Linked DNA regions of Rhinolophus ferrumequinum. The protein of the gene in region 2 interacts with the protein of the main gene of each other region in a biochemical or structural test. Links are inferred from orthologs where the notes say so. Each region holds a gene or a part of one and is shown on either strand. Other genes may lie near its edges.

Region 1 (8,153 bases), on a different chromosome or scaffold from region 2:
GAAAGCAGACAGTGTGAAGCTAAGGGGCTCTGCCTTACAAACCAAAAAGGCCCCATTCTGCAGGAAGCTGGGGTGAAAGGTAACTAAAGGGAGGCCACACCTCTCTGGGATAAGCCAAGGGCTGGGCAACTAGAGATTGCCCAATTCCGAAAGCACAACAGACTCCTTTCTCCGCTCCCCAACAGGTAGGACCTCTTTTAGATATAAAACCGACTGGGTGGTTGCCCCTTTCGCTTCCTCCGGTTTCAAATGACCAATCCTAAATGGGTTGACAGGGATTGTCTCTCTTCCATGGTGCCTGGAAACATTCCACAATTCGAGGCAAGAGGTGCCTCAGTCAATCCATTGGCCTCTGTAGAAAGATCATCCTGAGCATTCCCTAAGGGCATTGTTTCTGGAAGAAGAGGCTCAACTCCACTCCCGTCTCTTAGACAGCTAATTCCTGAAAGACTATATTGTGCCCTATGTTAATTACAGTTTGTTCTTAACAAACCCAATGCCTCCAGACCCCTGCCCACACCCCACAAAGCAAAGCTGGTCTTTTATCATGCAAGTGACAAAGGCCAAACTTAGGTTGGCTCAGCTCTGCACAGATAACTGCAGAGCCCTGTGAGGGCTTGCATCCGCAAGAGGATCCCAGGAAACTGCAGCCTCAAAGGTGGAGCTGGAACATTAAATGATTTGGGGCCTCTCAGGACCATATTAAACATCCCCCATACTTCCAACACAGAGGCAGTTGAGGAAGAGATTTAGTCATTATCTCACTCTGAGGATTTAATTCAATAAGGGTTCCCGTTAGTGGAGTAATTAGTGTTCTTTCAAAAAATCCTGCTTTTCTTCAGAATGGATAGGGAAACTTGGTAAACTTGAGAAACAGACGAAATGGAAACCATCAGCGGAAGGAAGTCTGCATTTAGCCCACAAACACTCTGCATTTGAGCTGCCTCGGACATCTGACTATTCCACAGACTGCAAAAACTTTGCCTGCCCTTGGGACATCGATGGAGTGCGCTTTGCAATTGGGATCATATGCTAAAGGAACGCAAACAACCAAATAAAAGATGTGTTACGTGTGATCCCAGCAAGCATGCCAGTGCCACACAATTTAAACACTATTTAAAACCAGTAGGTCTGGTTTCATCCTCTTTTGTCAGGATATTATTTGCCTTTGTAGAAATCCTTATTCTCTGCTAGGAAAGCTAAGTTATTTATAGAACATGTAAGAAAGTCACTACAAATAGCTTAGGGACAAATCTCCATATCTTTCTTTAACTTTGATTTTGCAAAATCAATTGACTAATCCCACAACCAGTCAGATTTAGGGAGGTTTGTCGGGGGAGGGAGGAAAGAAAAGGGTAGCTATCCCTGGAAGTACCCCATGATAGCTGCAGAACCCCAGAATAGATGGAAGTGACGACAGGCTCCATATCTGCTCCAGTTTCCTACTGCAAATTCCCAGTCCTGACCCTCCTCCAGCCTTGGTCCATCCAGCAACAAGTGGGAAAACTGCATTCCCCGTTCTGTGCTTCATCTGCCACACTACTGCAGCCCTCTTTCTGGCCAAGTGTCCCAGGAGGTATTGCATCAAGGAGAGAGGTTTTACCTTAAAACTCCAACTGCAGGGAATAACCAAGAATCAGACAAAATCAATCTAGTCTCCAAGTGCAGAGTGTTCTTCTGTTCTACTTACTCAGAGACAGGATGGGTAGGCCATGAGCATGTAGAAAATAATCGTATTGTGCATTTAGAAAAAAGATGTTATCCAAGGACCCAGAGCATCCCTCAACTTCATACCTTGAACACCTGACTTCACTCCCCAAGGCAGTTGCAGGACTGGAGTGACCGCAAGGTACAGGCTCTGCCCCTCTGCGTCCGCTCCCTGCTCACTACAGTCTTGGCTTTTAGCGTCCTTGCTAGCTAGAGGCCACTAGCCAAAGAGCCACCCTTTTGTCACGAGAAAAGGAATACCAAGGTACCCTGGACCACAGCCAGACTCAGGCAGCCTGGGTCCATCATCCTGCCATGAGAACTGAAGAGGCCTTGTGGTATCTCTAACATGAGGGACATCGATGAATTCATTTCAGGATCTTAATTATGCAAACCCCGCCAAACCTTAGAAAGAACTAGTCACTGAGCTGTTCCCTCATATTTTTCGGCGTCTAGGCAGCATTTCTAATTTCACAGAGTGCTGTAAATCGTCGTTATTTGTCATTACATGTTAGTCCATCTAAAGATAAGTCCTGGCTGGTTAACAAGCTTGCAGCAAGAAGGAAAAAAAACAGTTGCCCAAACCAGTCTTAGTCCTTTGCATGTGCTTCAATACCTTTTCCATACAACACTATCCTCCTGGCCACATGGGTGACATAAAAAGTTGCCCAAGTCTGTCAGTGGATTTCTCCTTACACTCAAATGAGGCCTGAACAAACAGCATGGCAGAACCAGGCCCACTTTCCTCATGACACAATCCAATATAGTTCATCACAATACATATTTAAGTATAGAGGTGCGATTTGAATGGGTGATTAAGTTATCAAGAGCTGTGATTCAGTCAGAAGCTCTCTTCAAAAACTTCTCTCAACCAAAGAACAGTTTGCTTGCCAGAAAGAACTGTATCGCTGGCCACACCTCCTCCTGGCTACCAGACAGAGGCAGGTTGCTCCCCATGGCCTACCTAAGGCGCAGGTGGCAGGTCCCCAGGCCCTTCACACTGTCAGCCTCTTTACATGCTCCCGTCTACACCGGGAGCTAGCTGGCCTAAGTCCTATAGCCTAGCTTCTGCCATCTCCGGAGGAAGTAAGATGTTGTCACGGAGGAGACTCAGTTCTAAAGGGAGAGGTAACCAGCAAGGCATCCACTCTTTGCACTTCCCTCTTTGAGTCTATCTGCCCTTTAGGCCACACCGCAAGCAGCTGCCTGAACAGTCTTCCAGGACTCAATGAAGGGAGTCATCTAATACAGTGCCCGCATGAATGTGGTTCTGGACAGATTCAACCAATTCCTCCGTCAACTTTTGGTTGAGAAAGACCACGAAGACAGACCCTTTCCAACAGTCCCCATAACACCAGTTTTGCCCAAAGGTTGCAGGAAGAAATAGGTTGCAAACAGGAATGAGAAACTGAAAAAGACCATTTCTACTCCAAGGGTAGCCCATCTGTAAACAGGTCTGATCTTTAACAACTACTTGGGGGTTACTCTCAGCTTCTCTCAGAAACTGCTTCCTAAATCCTGAAGCTTGTGGCCAGGAAGCTCCTCAACATCTCACTGCCTTCTTTCCTCCCTGTCCAAGTCCCAGGTCTTCAGCATTTACTGTGGTCCCCTTCCATCCTCAGCCAAATCATGGATCTCCCTGACCCTACCTCTGTTCTAGCCAATGTCTTAAAGCAAAGCAGCTGCAGAGGCAGAGGAAGCTCTGCAGGAAAAAAACTGTGCAGAGTAAGCAGAAAGTTTATCAGGAAAAGTTGTTCCGTGAAACTTCAAACCCCAAAGCACCGCACTGATATGATGTCTGAGTTCATTGGGAAAGTATCAAAAGGAGACCTCCTCATCTCTTCACAAGCATAACGCTCACAACTTGCTCTTCTAAACGGCAGGAGAGCCCGAGTCCACAGACCCACCCCTACCCTGTGCAGTCTCATACCCTCGCAGCTCCTCCAGCCGCGCTCCTCCAAAGCCCTCTCATATGCTCCCCAGGCCCCGCCTCGTCTCCCCCATCCCACTTCAGCTGCCCCCCCTTGGCTTCCCCTCGCCCACTAATGACCCCCTACAGGCGCCCCCTCCTTTCACCACGTCTACAGTTCCCACTCTCCTATCTTTCCCCGCTCAGCTCCTACACACTCCCAATTCACTCTATTCTCCTAATTCCAGTTAACCCTTCAACCTCCCCGCCCTCGTTAACCCTTCGCTACCCACAGGCTCCGTTAACCCCTTTGTCCCCATTTACAACTCCTTCCTTCGCAGCAGGAAGCCCTTCATCCAAGTGCTTTAACCATTCTTCTCCTCCTCCTCCGAATATTACTTCGTCCCTGGTGCTTTAACCCTGCCCAGCCTGCCCAGTTGGTGTCCCCGCGCGGCCCAGGGCATACCAGTACTTGACGATAGCTGTAACCTGGAGCGGGTTCGGCTGGTCAGGGTAAAGACGACGGCACTCTCCGTAGATGGCGTGCAGTCCCGGAGGGAACAGCGAGGCGAAGGCCGGAGGTGCAGTCGGGCCAGGGGCCGGGGGCGCGGTGGGGCCGGGGGCGCCGCTAGGCCGCAGCTCCGCCATCCGGGCGCGTAGGGCGCTGGGAGAACCCGGGAGGGCAGACGAGCGGCAGAGCACTGACGCGCCAGCGGGCGAACCTGGAGGGTGCGACTCCCCTAGGCGATGGGGGCTGCAGCGAGGTCTAGGCTTCGCGCCTGCGCACAGCGCACCGTCCGCCCAGGCCGTCGCCGCGGCAGAGATAGCCAGAGGTTGCCTGGGGGGGCCGCTGGACGCTCAAGGAGGCGGGGCACCGGCGCGCCCTATCCCAGATTCTATTGGCTAATGTCTGTGCCAGTCACACGTGGGACTGCGTGCCTTGACAATAGGTCCCGCCTCCCTCTCCCTGTGTTAGGGGTATCCCAAGGCTCTTGGCCTCCCCCTAGTGTTAGGAGGAGCCCAGGTTTAAATACAGATGTGGAGCCATCCTTTTGAGGTGCTAGGGTCCCACATAAGCACTGGGAAGTGCGCTGACGAAGAGCTTATCACTGGTCGGGTGACACGCTAACAAGGATTTAAACATAAGTTTGACAATAGATTAATTCATTCCTCCATTTGGCACTAGTTTAAATAGATTTAAATCTGAATGTTTCCTACACCTTGGAATGTCCACTAATCGTATTGACTGACACCAACACCACCAAACTCAGGGGTCGTATGTCAAAATACCTATTATGGAATTCTGATGGAAAGTAACAAGAGTTTGGTAAACTAGGATCAATTAAAGAAACTTCGTAATTATTTAATAGATGTTAATGACAATCTCTTCTTTGTTGTGTTTTAGGCAGAGATATGCAGATTGTCTTGAGGAACACCAATGTTCATTATCTACTATGGGCCTGCCATTCTCCATTACTTTGACTCTCTGTAACTGGGAGAATTTTTAATTTCTAAGGCACCGGGTTGGGAATTATTTTCTTGTTTACAATAACTTTTCAAAAAGTAATATCTCCCACTCAATGATCTTGAAGAAATTCCAAAAGACGAATAGAAAGGAGTCCAGGCTACCAGTGCTATTGACTACAAGCATCCCTGCAACTTGAAGCAGCGGAGGAAATAATCTAGAGAAAAATGCACTGAAATCATTTGAAAGCAGTGACTTTTCACCTCCATTTTCTCACTCATCAATGTCAATTCTCTACCAATAATTCCAAATGCCAGTCTTCAGACCAGTGTTAGCCTGTTGCAAAGTTTATACCTATCCAGGAAAAAATGCAAAAAGCAATGAAAATGTGTTGTTATTTTTTTCCTAAAAAGCAAATTTTATGCAATTTATTTCCTTTGTTCTGGGAATATGTCCTTCCCCGTATGTGTGTGTATTAAAATTTATTTTATTAGAGTGTGGTGGCCATAGATGTTTATTAATATCTTATGGATCCAGATAAAAACATGGTAGCCTTAATATTGTCCAGAAGTGGTGCGGAGTGGCAGAACTGATCTGTAAAATCCGAACATCTACGAATTACTGATCAATCCAAAGCGAACTACAGACAAGTACTTCAGCATGCACTGCGAATCCCTCCAAAGGGATCCCTACAGATCCAAGCTTGCAATACAACCATCAATCTGAATCCCCGTGTATTTATCTATGGAAACTACAAAGCCCAGGGTACTGTGCGTCGGAAACGCAACACCGGGTAATGGGTCTCTTAAATTAGGCGGGGCTCCGAAACTGCCTTGCCCTCTAACTGCAGGTGCAAGACATCGTGGGGGTTGTAGTTCTTCCGAGGCGAGGTCTGGCCGCTCCCTGGCCGCCCTGCATCAGCGGCTAGACTGCGCATGCGCGTCAGTGGCGCTAGCTGCGGACCCGGCAGGCAGTTCCTTCCTCAGAAGGAGAGATTCCTCTGCCATGGAGTCCTACGATGTGATCGCCAACCAGCCTGTTGTGATCGACAACGTGAGTTTCGTCTTCCATTTCTCTAAAGGGACTCATGCTCTCCTCCCCGAAGGGATCGCTTCCCGGCTTTCAAGCCTGCGCCGCCGGCTCTTTGTCACTGGTCTGGCCTGTCAGGCGGGTTCAACCGCCGCTACCTCCGTCCTTCCTCCACCCATAGACCGCACGCAGGGCGGCCGGCCAGCAACCATGGGATAGAGAACTTGGGAGTGGATTAAGGGAACAGCTGTAGTCCGAGCCGGGTCCTTGGGCCCTTGACTCTTAGGGGCCTTAACCGCTCTGTGAGCGCCCGGCACCCGCCCCTCCCCAGTTTCCGATAACTCTATTGGCTGTTCTGGCTGTCCATCTTGACCGATGACCCCGCCTCTGAGCCTTGCCTGATGAGGGCTGCCCTCTGCAGTGATTGGCTTGCGCCCTTGCCGTTCTTCCGGGCCGTCAAAGCGTTTCTCTTTAAGGGGCGGGGCAGTGCACGAGGACTGTGGGGATTGGCTGTCGGAACTCTCAGTGGTAGGGCCTGATGGGCTAGGGCCGGTCCGCGGGTGGAGAAGGGCTAAGTTTCCTTTGGTCTGGAGCTGGCCGGGTTGCTTGGCGGTGTATCTGGGTGGGGCCCAAGAATGTGGTGTCAGAAATGGCCATCAGATTTCAGTTATTTCTGTGATTGTAAATTATAGCGTTAATAAAGTTCGAGAAGAAGGGAGAGTGACAAAGCAAGCAGGGAGGTACCTTCCTCTTTGGAACGCCTAGTTACTGGGGGGGAAATTTTACCTACATAGTGTTTGCCAGGCTCTCTAGCGCTTATGGAGGGCTTTCACATACTCGTAACCTTCAAGTTGGATCCTCACAAAAACTGGGTACATAGTTAAGGCAGGACGTTTGATGCTCGTTTTACAAATGAGAAAACGAGCGCGAAGAGGTTTCAAACAAGGTCGCACTAAATCCAGTGCTTTATCCGTTATTCCATTCCCCCACGCCAAGCATCAATAGTGATAAATGAAAAGAATCTAAATATTGCTCTTATTTTGCGCGGAAGGAGACAATCGTAAAACAACTGCATTTCTTTCCTCCAAAGGTTTGATCCCACCAAAATTGGTTGATACCTTTTCTGTACCCCTTCTAAATCTCTCCATTGAGGCAAAACTGCCCGTTCCCTCTCTCCTAAGATGACTGTCAGATTTGCTCTGTTGATCCAGCCCTCTTGGACCTTAGGTAAATTGCAAGGTCTTTTCATTTGCATCATCTCTTTTAAGCTCCAGCTCTGGTAGGTAGATGGGAATCATTATCCTCAGTTTATGCAGGAAAGTGAGGCTTGGAGAGGTTAAATAACAGTATTCGAACTACCAGGTTTGTGAGTTGAGGAGCCAAGACTCAAATCGAGATCAGGTTCCAAGTTCCTAACTTTTTTCAAAAAAGGGTGCTTTTTTTTATTGTTAGCTTTCCCTCTCTTCAGGAGTATGGCTTCTGCCTTGAAAAGCAAGAAGTTGAGTTCAATGAGACAAATCATTTTGGAGAGGATTTTGTTTGTTTGTTTGTTTCACTCACTAGACTATTAAATCCTTGTGGGAAAAGATGGTATCCCTTTATTTTTTAATACTTTCCCCTTTCCCACCTCCTTCCACACACCAGAGTACCTATGTTCAGGCATCACTGAGTACTCAGTGTTTTTTCATTGCATTGATGGGTAGGTGGATGAATGACTAAATATCTCTATCACAGTAACAATGATGTCCCTAAATAAAGGATGGGGTGGGGCAGCCTAGTTAGTTACTGCACAGGGTTGAGTAGGACTCCTTGTTCTTGACGTTGATTTTTCAGAAACCACTATTTCTGTCTTCAGCTTGTTTGTGTGTGCTGCATCTGCCTTCTTCATAATTTGAAAAAGAAATTAGCTCCTTTTTTTCATCAGCCATGAAGAAGCAGTGTGTCCATCCCACCAAATCTGCTTCTTGAATTATTGGGCAGAAGTTCAATCTCCCCCTCATTTTCTTTAATATCACTTAGGCTAATGCTTCTTAGTTTCTCCTT
Region 2 (8,153 bases):
CACCTGGTTTCCTTTGGAAAAAAATAGGTCTACTGACAGAGAGCAAGCTATCTAAACACAGCACACACAGTCTCTAAAATTTACATATATATCACAACACACCAAGTTACTCAAATAGTAATTACTTAAAGAAAAATATTCCACTGCTATCATTTGGTAAAATTGTTGCATAATGGTTCCACCATATAAAAATCTAATTGTGATATCAGTAGGAAGGGTTGCTTAAGTTATAAAGGCAACAGGTAGCAAAAATGGAAGCTAGCTTATTTCATCCAAGACAATCCATTAACCAAAGATCACTGTAACAGGCTTAAGTATTTAAGAAAATGCTATTCCCACAGTTGACCTTTGAAGAGACATTCCCTGCTTCTCAAATTTCTTATATTTAAAGACCACAATTCAACCCTACAGACCCAATTTTAAATTAGCCTCTGACTCATAGGCTTAGAAGTCTAGTCTAAGCTCCCCCTCACCCACCTCCAGATTCAGGAATCTCTTTCATGAAATCTCTGAGAGAAGATTATTCAGGCCCTCTCACACAGTATGTTGAAAAGATCTCTAGACCTGGAAACAATAAGCTGGGTTCCAGACCAGTGTCTGCCATTCACTATCTAAAATGTATTAGGGTAAGCCATTTTACTTCTCCAGCCTGTATCTTCATGCTCAAGAAGTGGGGAAAGATTAGATGATGTCAAAGGTCTCTTCCTGTTCTGAAGTTACATAACTATGAGGCTCACTAGTTCAAGAAAGAACTCATTTCATTTTTACACAGCTCTCATTGTTAGAAAGGACTTTCTAAATTTCCTAATATACAAATTCTTCAATCCTGAAATTCCACTTCTTGAAATGTACCCTAGAAAAACATGACCACATGTACATAGAAAACATCTATCAGCATTGTTTGTAGTAGCAATTAACTGGAAACATCCATTAATAAACACAGTATAACACATAGTATAACACTATGGGATACTATGCAGCAGTTAAAAAGAATGAAGGAAACCATATACTCACTAAGGGGAAAGACCTCCAAACCATACTATTAACACCTCCCCCCAAAAAAAAACATTGCAGAACATGTACATTTTGATGCCATTTACAAAAATGACTCTGAAGGTTTATACAGGGCTTTCAACAATGATGGAACTGTTCTAGAAAGTCCAGTCCAGTTGCCCCCAGCCACCCATGAATATTGATCTCTGAAATGTGGCTACTATGACTTAGAAACTAAATTTCAAATTGTATTTAATTTTAACTACTTTAAATTTAATAGCCATAGGTGGCTAGTGGGTATTGTGCTTGACAGTGCAGGTCTAGAAGAACAATCTAAACTGGTAACAGTGGTTAGTTCTCTCTGGAGAGGAAACAAAATAGGAGGGTAGGGGTAAAGGCACACTTTTGCTTTACCTGAAATATTTGAATGTTTTAAAGCAAGGAATACTTATTATTTACATAAAATAAAATTTAAAAAGAAAAGGCCTTATTGATAATGAGCCAAAAATCTGCCCATGAAGCACCACAAAAAGAATTCAGTTTTTCTCTTTTGCTTTTGCCATACCTGGAAAAAACGGGGCAAGTATGAGAGCTTTCCCTACTAACATCCTGTAAGTCACATTTCTCTCCTAAATTTTTCCCCCACTGCATCCCGTTTTACAACTATAGTCATTTTTGGTACAAAAAGCATAGCAACACAATCATAAAGGCTACTGACCCATTATCAAGAGAGAAGAGCATACTTTCTTAAGAATGTTTTCCAATGGAGGTGATGGATTTGTGCCTTTCTATGCAACGACCCTTCCTTCCTCTACTGTAAAAAAAAAAAAAAAAAAAAAAAAAAAAATGTGCTAGATCCCTAAGAATTCTCTTCTCCAAGCCAAACACTTCCACTTCTCACCAGAAAAAGCCAGAATGCTTTCAAACATCACGTGGCTCTGTTGTAGCTCAGAACAACTCAAGTCAGGATATAAACATTTCTTAAACACTTCTCTTAGTGGTATGGCATACTCACCCAGAGTCTCAGCCCAGAGTTCTAAACACTTGGTCATTAATGTGTTCATAAATATTTACTGAGTGCTACTAAATGCCAGGCACTGCACTTAGGAGAGGGGATAGAGCAATGAACAAGATCTGTGTGGATAGAGTCTCTGTCCCCAAAAGCCTTACCCCTAAAAGTTCTACTTGGTAAACACTGAAAAACCTTGATTTCAATTCATTCCAGACAGTCCACCTCACTTGTTGCTGAATAGCACTAGGACCATGAGAACCCCACAGGCAATCTTCATTCAAGTTTCTAATACAAAGAAAAAATACTCCAAATACTCCAACACAAACAAGGCAAGTCTAAGGAGTAATTCCCAAGTGTCCCTCAGACCAAGTTTTCAACATTTCACAACAAAAATGTGAAAAGGAACAATGTAGCAAATAGAATAAGTCTATCCTATAGGGATTCTCTTTATAATGAGATCATGTCCTTTTTTCTGTATTAAAATGTTCTCTACGTCAAGAAATAATGGTTTAGGTAGAAAGCAGAAGTACCTGGGTTTTTTGTTTTGGTTTGTTTCTAAACAGTATACTTGCCAAATAACAAGACATCCATCAAACCTCTATACCAAATATGTGTTGATATTTTATTTGTCCATGTCACCCACTGATTCAAAGGACTTAAGAAAGTACCTTCTGCTCTAAAATACACATCCTGAACACACAACGGAGGCAATTATTCCGCTGACAAATATACCTCCATACGGGTTAAATCTTTACATTTTGACACAAGGAAAAGTTAAGCTTTCACACTCTTTTGTTATATTATTCACAAGAACATTAATATCACAATAAAACAGATAAAAACACAGGATTACAAATATGCAAAAAGTCGAATCAAACAAAGTATACTGGTGACAGTAACAACTGTAATTGATGACAGCTACTTCAGTAACAATAAAAGTAGCCAAATTTTTATCTAAGTGATTTTGGGCTAGTCTTAAATATCATCCACACTGAAAAAGGAGATTTACATGTATTAAGGTCCAGAAATGGCAGGGGGAGGGAAGAAAATGAGAAAACAACTTGTTAATAACAACTTAATACAACCTCTATCACACAGTTAAGTTATCACTAGCACTGACAAAACTGCAAGTTTTACTTGGTACTTGAAGTGCGACAAAGCTCCCACAGGACACTCATATCTTCTCCACTCACCCATCCTCCAACAAAAAATACACTTGTCCTTACCTTCTTTTATGTAAAAGTTCACAGGTTGGAAGCTAATACAACATAGCATAAACAAAAGGGTTTTCAAGTCAAGCAGGCCTCAATTCCCCAGATGTGCCTCTTACGATTATGTGTGGCCTTGGAAAAGTCATTTAACCTCTTCAAGCGACACTAGACTGTAATCTCCATAAGAGAAAACACCACTTCTGCCTGACTTACTACTGTAGGCACACAGGACTGAAAAATCAGTTTCTCTTCTATAAAGTAAGGACGTTAACAATGTTTATCGCACAGCGGTAATTGGAGGATTAAATGAGATACTACGTATATAAAACTCTGGGACAGCGCCTGATCACAGTAAATGCTCAAAAAAAGTTAAGTGTTATTGACATCAACTAGCAGCTATCAAACCTGGAAGAAGTTTGAAGACTTTCGAACACTAATATAAAGTCCTTACCCAGTAAGTGCAAATTCGTCATTGATTAAAATATTTCACAGAAAACCTACGAGTCGTTTGTAAACCACTGAGCTGGGAATCTAATAATAGATGAACTTTGAATTGTGCGTAACAAACCCACGCTAATTAAAAGGCATTCAGTAGATTCCAAGTTTTTCTACTTCAAAAAATAAGCCCTAAGCATCCTCCACATTGGCTTCCCCATCTCCCCTTGGGACGTGTCTGGCGGTCAGGGAACCCCCTCCTCTGCGCTTAGGAAGAGGAGAGAGAGAACCTCCGAGGAGGCAGCGGGCTTGGGGGAAAGCGCGCATCCCTGCGCCATTCACCCAGACCCACCTTGAGCAGGATGGAAGGCGGCAGCTGGTTGATGTCTGGGGTTTCGGGGGGCGGCTCCCTATGACAGTCGCAGGCGTTTTCGCGGGGATCCTGACAGTCCGCGTCGCCGCATTCAAGCTGCTGCTGGGCAGCCGAGGGGGCGGTGCTCCCCGCTCGGACGGCGTCCCCGCCGGCCTCCGTGGGGGCACCTTCGGAAGTGGGAGAGGAGGGCGGGGGGCAGAGAGGCTGCGGTGGCTGCTCGGAGCCTTGGCAGCAACCGGCATCGGGGGGCCGCGGAGGTGAGGCGCCTCCTCCCGCAGGCCCGCCGCCACCGCAGCCCCCGCCGCCGCAGCGGGGCTGCTTACAGGGGGTGCAGGCGGGGACTCCGGCCCCCTTCCGCTTGCACACCATCTCCGGGGACGTGGGGGGCTCGGATGGAGGCGGCGTGGACCCCCGGAAGAGTTGCACGGCGACAGGCGGCCCCAGGAAGCGCACGGGCCCCAAGCTGGCCAAGAACAGGCTCCGGCCCTGCTGCTCCCAGGCGGCGGCCGCAGCCAGCCCCAGCTCTTTGCAGCAGGAGGCGGGCGATGAGGCCGAGGCGGCGGCGGCGGCGGCGGCGGCGGCAGCGGAGGATAGCAGGAAGCGGCGGGCGACGGCGGCGCAGTCTTCAGCAGCCAGGGCCGCGTAGCGCCGTGCCAGGTGCTGAGAGGAGGCGGCCGCGGCGTAGGCCCCGTCCCGCGGCGGCGGCGGCGGCGGCGGCGAGAGCGGCGGCTCCTCCTCTGGGCCGGCGGGGGCGGGCGCGCCGGGGCTGTGCACGATGAAGCAGAGCATGCAGGGCCCGCGGAAGAAGCAGTCCCGGCTCCGGGGCGCCGCCGGCTGGGGGGGCGCCTTGGCCGGGGTCCGGCGGGGCAGCCTGAGGAGAGGGCGGCGGCGGCGGCACCAGCTGCAACAGCGAGGCCTCTTCTGGCTCGGGCGGTTACGCGGCTCCTTCGAAAGAAGGTGGCCCATATAGAAGGCCCCGAGGAGGGGGACCGGGACGGGGCAGGAGGGAGGCCCGGAGAGTCGGGCTCCCGGCAGCGGGGCAGGCCGCTCGCTGGCTCGGCCTCCGGCCCGCGGCGGGGTCGCCCGCCCGGCGCACACACACGCACACGGGCACCCACGCGACGGCGGGGATGGGCGTCAGCTGCGGGCCGCCCTGCCGCCCGTCGGGGGCTACATGCTTTGCCCAGGGAAGCCGGGAGAACGATAGGCGCGAGGTTTGGGGACGCGACGGCGAGAGCGAGCCTGCCGGCTAGACGACCAGTCCGAGCTGGGCCCGCCGGCTCAGTCAGTCAGTGCGGCGGTCGGGGGAACGCAGGGTCCCGCTCGGACCATTTTAACTGCGGCTCCGCCGGCGGCGCGCGCGCCCGCGATACGGCTCGGAGCCGCAGGAGCGCGCGGCCCGCGCGGGGAGGGGGCGGAGCCGGCTGCGGCGGCGCGCTCCGGACGGGGGTTCGGGCGCCGGGCTGCTCACCCGGGACGGCCGCTAGGCAGGGACTGCTGGGAAGCGGGCGGGCGAGGGCGCGGGGCTCGCGGGGACCGCCGTGCGACCCTCCCTCCCATCGCCCAGGGTTTCGCGGAGGCAGCTGGGCCCACGCCCCCTTTCTGGAGCGGGAGGAGACGCTTCCGAGCCAGTTGTGTGACATCCGTTTGCACAGCCGCGCTGACGTCTGTAGGTGTAAGTTCAAGAACTGCCATTGGCCGGGAGCCTCTCGGCTCTTCCTCACACCCCCCACCCCGACTCGGATCGGAGACCGTGGCCACTTACGGGCGGTAAACAGGGTTCGGCCGGAAGGCCAACCTGGGTCCCAGGCTGCCTCTGCAGTGGAGTGGTAGATGCGCGGTCTTTGGGTGGTGAGCACCGGTGTTCTCGCGTAAGGGGTTAATTGGTAATGCAACACTGCTGTGTTTCCCCGCTTGTTTTTATACTTTGTTACTTGTGGCAGACTGCTGACTAAACCATAACTTTATTTCCAAATGAAAGCATGTGTCAAATTATCTATACACACCAGAAAGATAAATAGTTTCTTACCCAACATCCCAGGCTATAAGCTACAAATGAGTGTCGTCTGCACCCTCGGAATCCCATCTATCCATCATCTACTTTTAAAATGATTGTGCGTGCCTACTACGGCATATGATAGAATGGTTCTAGACAGACCTTGGAGACTCTGGGAAGAAAGAGGAAAGAAGTTTTGCAGACAACCCTTTAGAAGGTTTGACTGATGATACTAGAGAGAGAGAGGGCAATAACCAGAGCGGTATCTGGTGTTGAGAGGTTAGCTTTCACAAGGGAGAAATTGGAAGAGGCTTAGTGATGGGAAATGAGGCAGTATAAAGGAGATGAGAAGAGATAATACAAGGCCCTCGACAAGATGGAATGGCAAGTACCTTAGGAGGGATACTGCCTTTACTGTGATTGGAAGGAATAAGGAAAGACGTGATAAAGGATGGGCACAGATAGGTGGATGTTTCTAGCAAGAAAGTGAAAGGGTTCCTTTCAAAGGGTCTCTGTTTTCCATTAAGTGGAGCCGGGTTACCTGCTTGAAGGATAGAAGGAAAGAGTCAGGTGTTTTAAAAAGCTACTAAGGATAACTTGAGAGAACTGACAGAGGAAGCAGTATTGCAAGATTCAAAGCTGGTCAGCTTAGAGACCATTGTTTAGGCCTGTGTAACTTTCCCACCACAGTGGCCAGTCTCACGCAGCCTTCTCCCAAACATACCATCAAACCTTTGCTAATAACGGTCTCTTTGTCAAAAGTGACTTTTATGTTAGTTCTGCCAACCTTCAGGGATTTCCCTTTCTGAGTGAGATGGAACTCCAAGAAACCTAGAGGCAAAAATTTATCAAAGGGTTTTACATACCGGTTACGCACTATGAAGTACACTGCCCGAATTGCATTGACCTACAGATATTATCCACACAGCTTTCATCCCTCAGGCTGTAGAGGGATCTTCCTGCGCCAGAGTTCCTGTCATGAGAACAGGAGGTTAGGAGTGACCGGGATTACGTGAGGTCTTACAACAAATCCTTTGCCATCTTTGCAAAACTACACTTTGAGGAGAGGGTGTTCTAAGCTTTTCTATTGTACACCCATTAGTTTCATATAAATTATACATTATGACCTAGCACTTAGAGGTATTTATCCAAGAAAAATAAAAGCATATATGCATAAAACCACTTGTACAAAAATATGTATAGCAGCTTTATTCATGATCACAAAAATCTATAAACATACCAGATGTCCTTCAGTAGAGATTGGATAAATAAACTGGTATAATCGTTCAATGGCATACTACTCAGCAATTAAAAAAAAAAAAAGGAAGAAAGAAAAAACAACATGGATGAATCTCCAAAACACGCTGAATCAGACTCTCTGGAGTTGGGGCCTGTGGTCAAAGAGCCAGGAGTGCAGTTTCCAGGCTTTTGGCCTCACGTGGAAAGGTGCGGGCTCAGGTAGTAAATGGCCATAAACTATGATTGGATGGCCATCAGCTGTGGCTAGTTAGCTGTCAGCTGTAACCAGTGAGCCATTGGCTACTAATATAACTGCTGTGGCTACACTAGCAGCAAAATGAGGCCTGGCAAGAAGATGGTGGCTGAGCCTGCAAACAGCACAGTGAGGGTTGCGAACAGTGTGGCTCCTGCTTCCTGTTTCTCCAACTCAGCTGAGTATAGTGGTGTGACTCCCCTACCTATGGCTCCCTGGGTGTTCCTTTTTGGCCTCACCATATCCTGTGTTCTTGTGTGGGGAGCGGGAGCTGAGACCCCGCATGACACGCCATGTGACAGGGCCCTAGAATCCCTACTTGATCTTAACAAGCTCCGCATGTGATTACTGCACAGACAGCCCAACACTATGCAAACCTATCAGAAGTACACGTAATCTGTGTCTTGTTTCAGAGGTGAGGCAAGTGACAGACTTTTAAAGTGGTTTCCAAAATTCACAGCACTGGTTTTTACTTCCAATACCAGAGCCTTTCAAGCTGCAAGTAAGTGGCTGTTTTTCTCTTTACCGCAGCATGGAGCAAGGTCTTGTACTTTCAGTAATTAAGTAAGCTACTGCTATCATCACCAGAGCTGCAGTGAGCATTAGAACTCATTACTCTTCTGAGTAAGAGTTATACATTG

The links.
Region 1: of the proteins of FBXL17 (region 2) and SUFU, one has a biochemical effect on the other in vitro, tested with the Homo sapiens proteins (2 studies listed by BioGRID, with this or other methods). The link is inferred for Rhinolophus ferrumequinum from reciprocal best matches to the Homo sapiens genes FBXL17 and SUFU.

The regions. Positions count from the first base shown.
Region 1 is NC_046299.1:22,534,951-22,543,103, forward strand, and holds the start of SUFU (suppressor of fused homolog), read right to left. Parts: upstream 4,449-8,153; 5' UTR 4,265-4,448; coding exon 4,083-4,264; intron 1-4,082. Other genes in the region: ACTR1A (alpha-centractin), read left to right, coding at 6,087-6,134. UniProt on the Homo sapiens protein: Negative regulator in the hedgehog/smoothened signaling pathway. Down-regulates GLI1-mediated transactivation of target genes. Down-regulates GLI2-mediated transactivation of target genes. Part of a corepressor complex that acts on DNA-bound GLI1.
Region 2 is NC_046290.1:73,023,352-73,031,504, forward strand, and holds the start of FBXL17 (F-box/LRR-repeat protein 17), read right to left. Parts: upstream 5,127-8,153; 5' UTR 4,991-5,126; coding exon 4,004-4,990; intron 1-4,003. UniProt on the Homo sapiens protein: Substrate-recognition component of the SCF(FBXL17) E3 ubiquitin ligase complex, a key component of a quality control pathway required to ensure functional dimerization of BTB domain-containing proteins (dimerization quality control, DQC).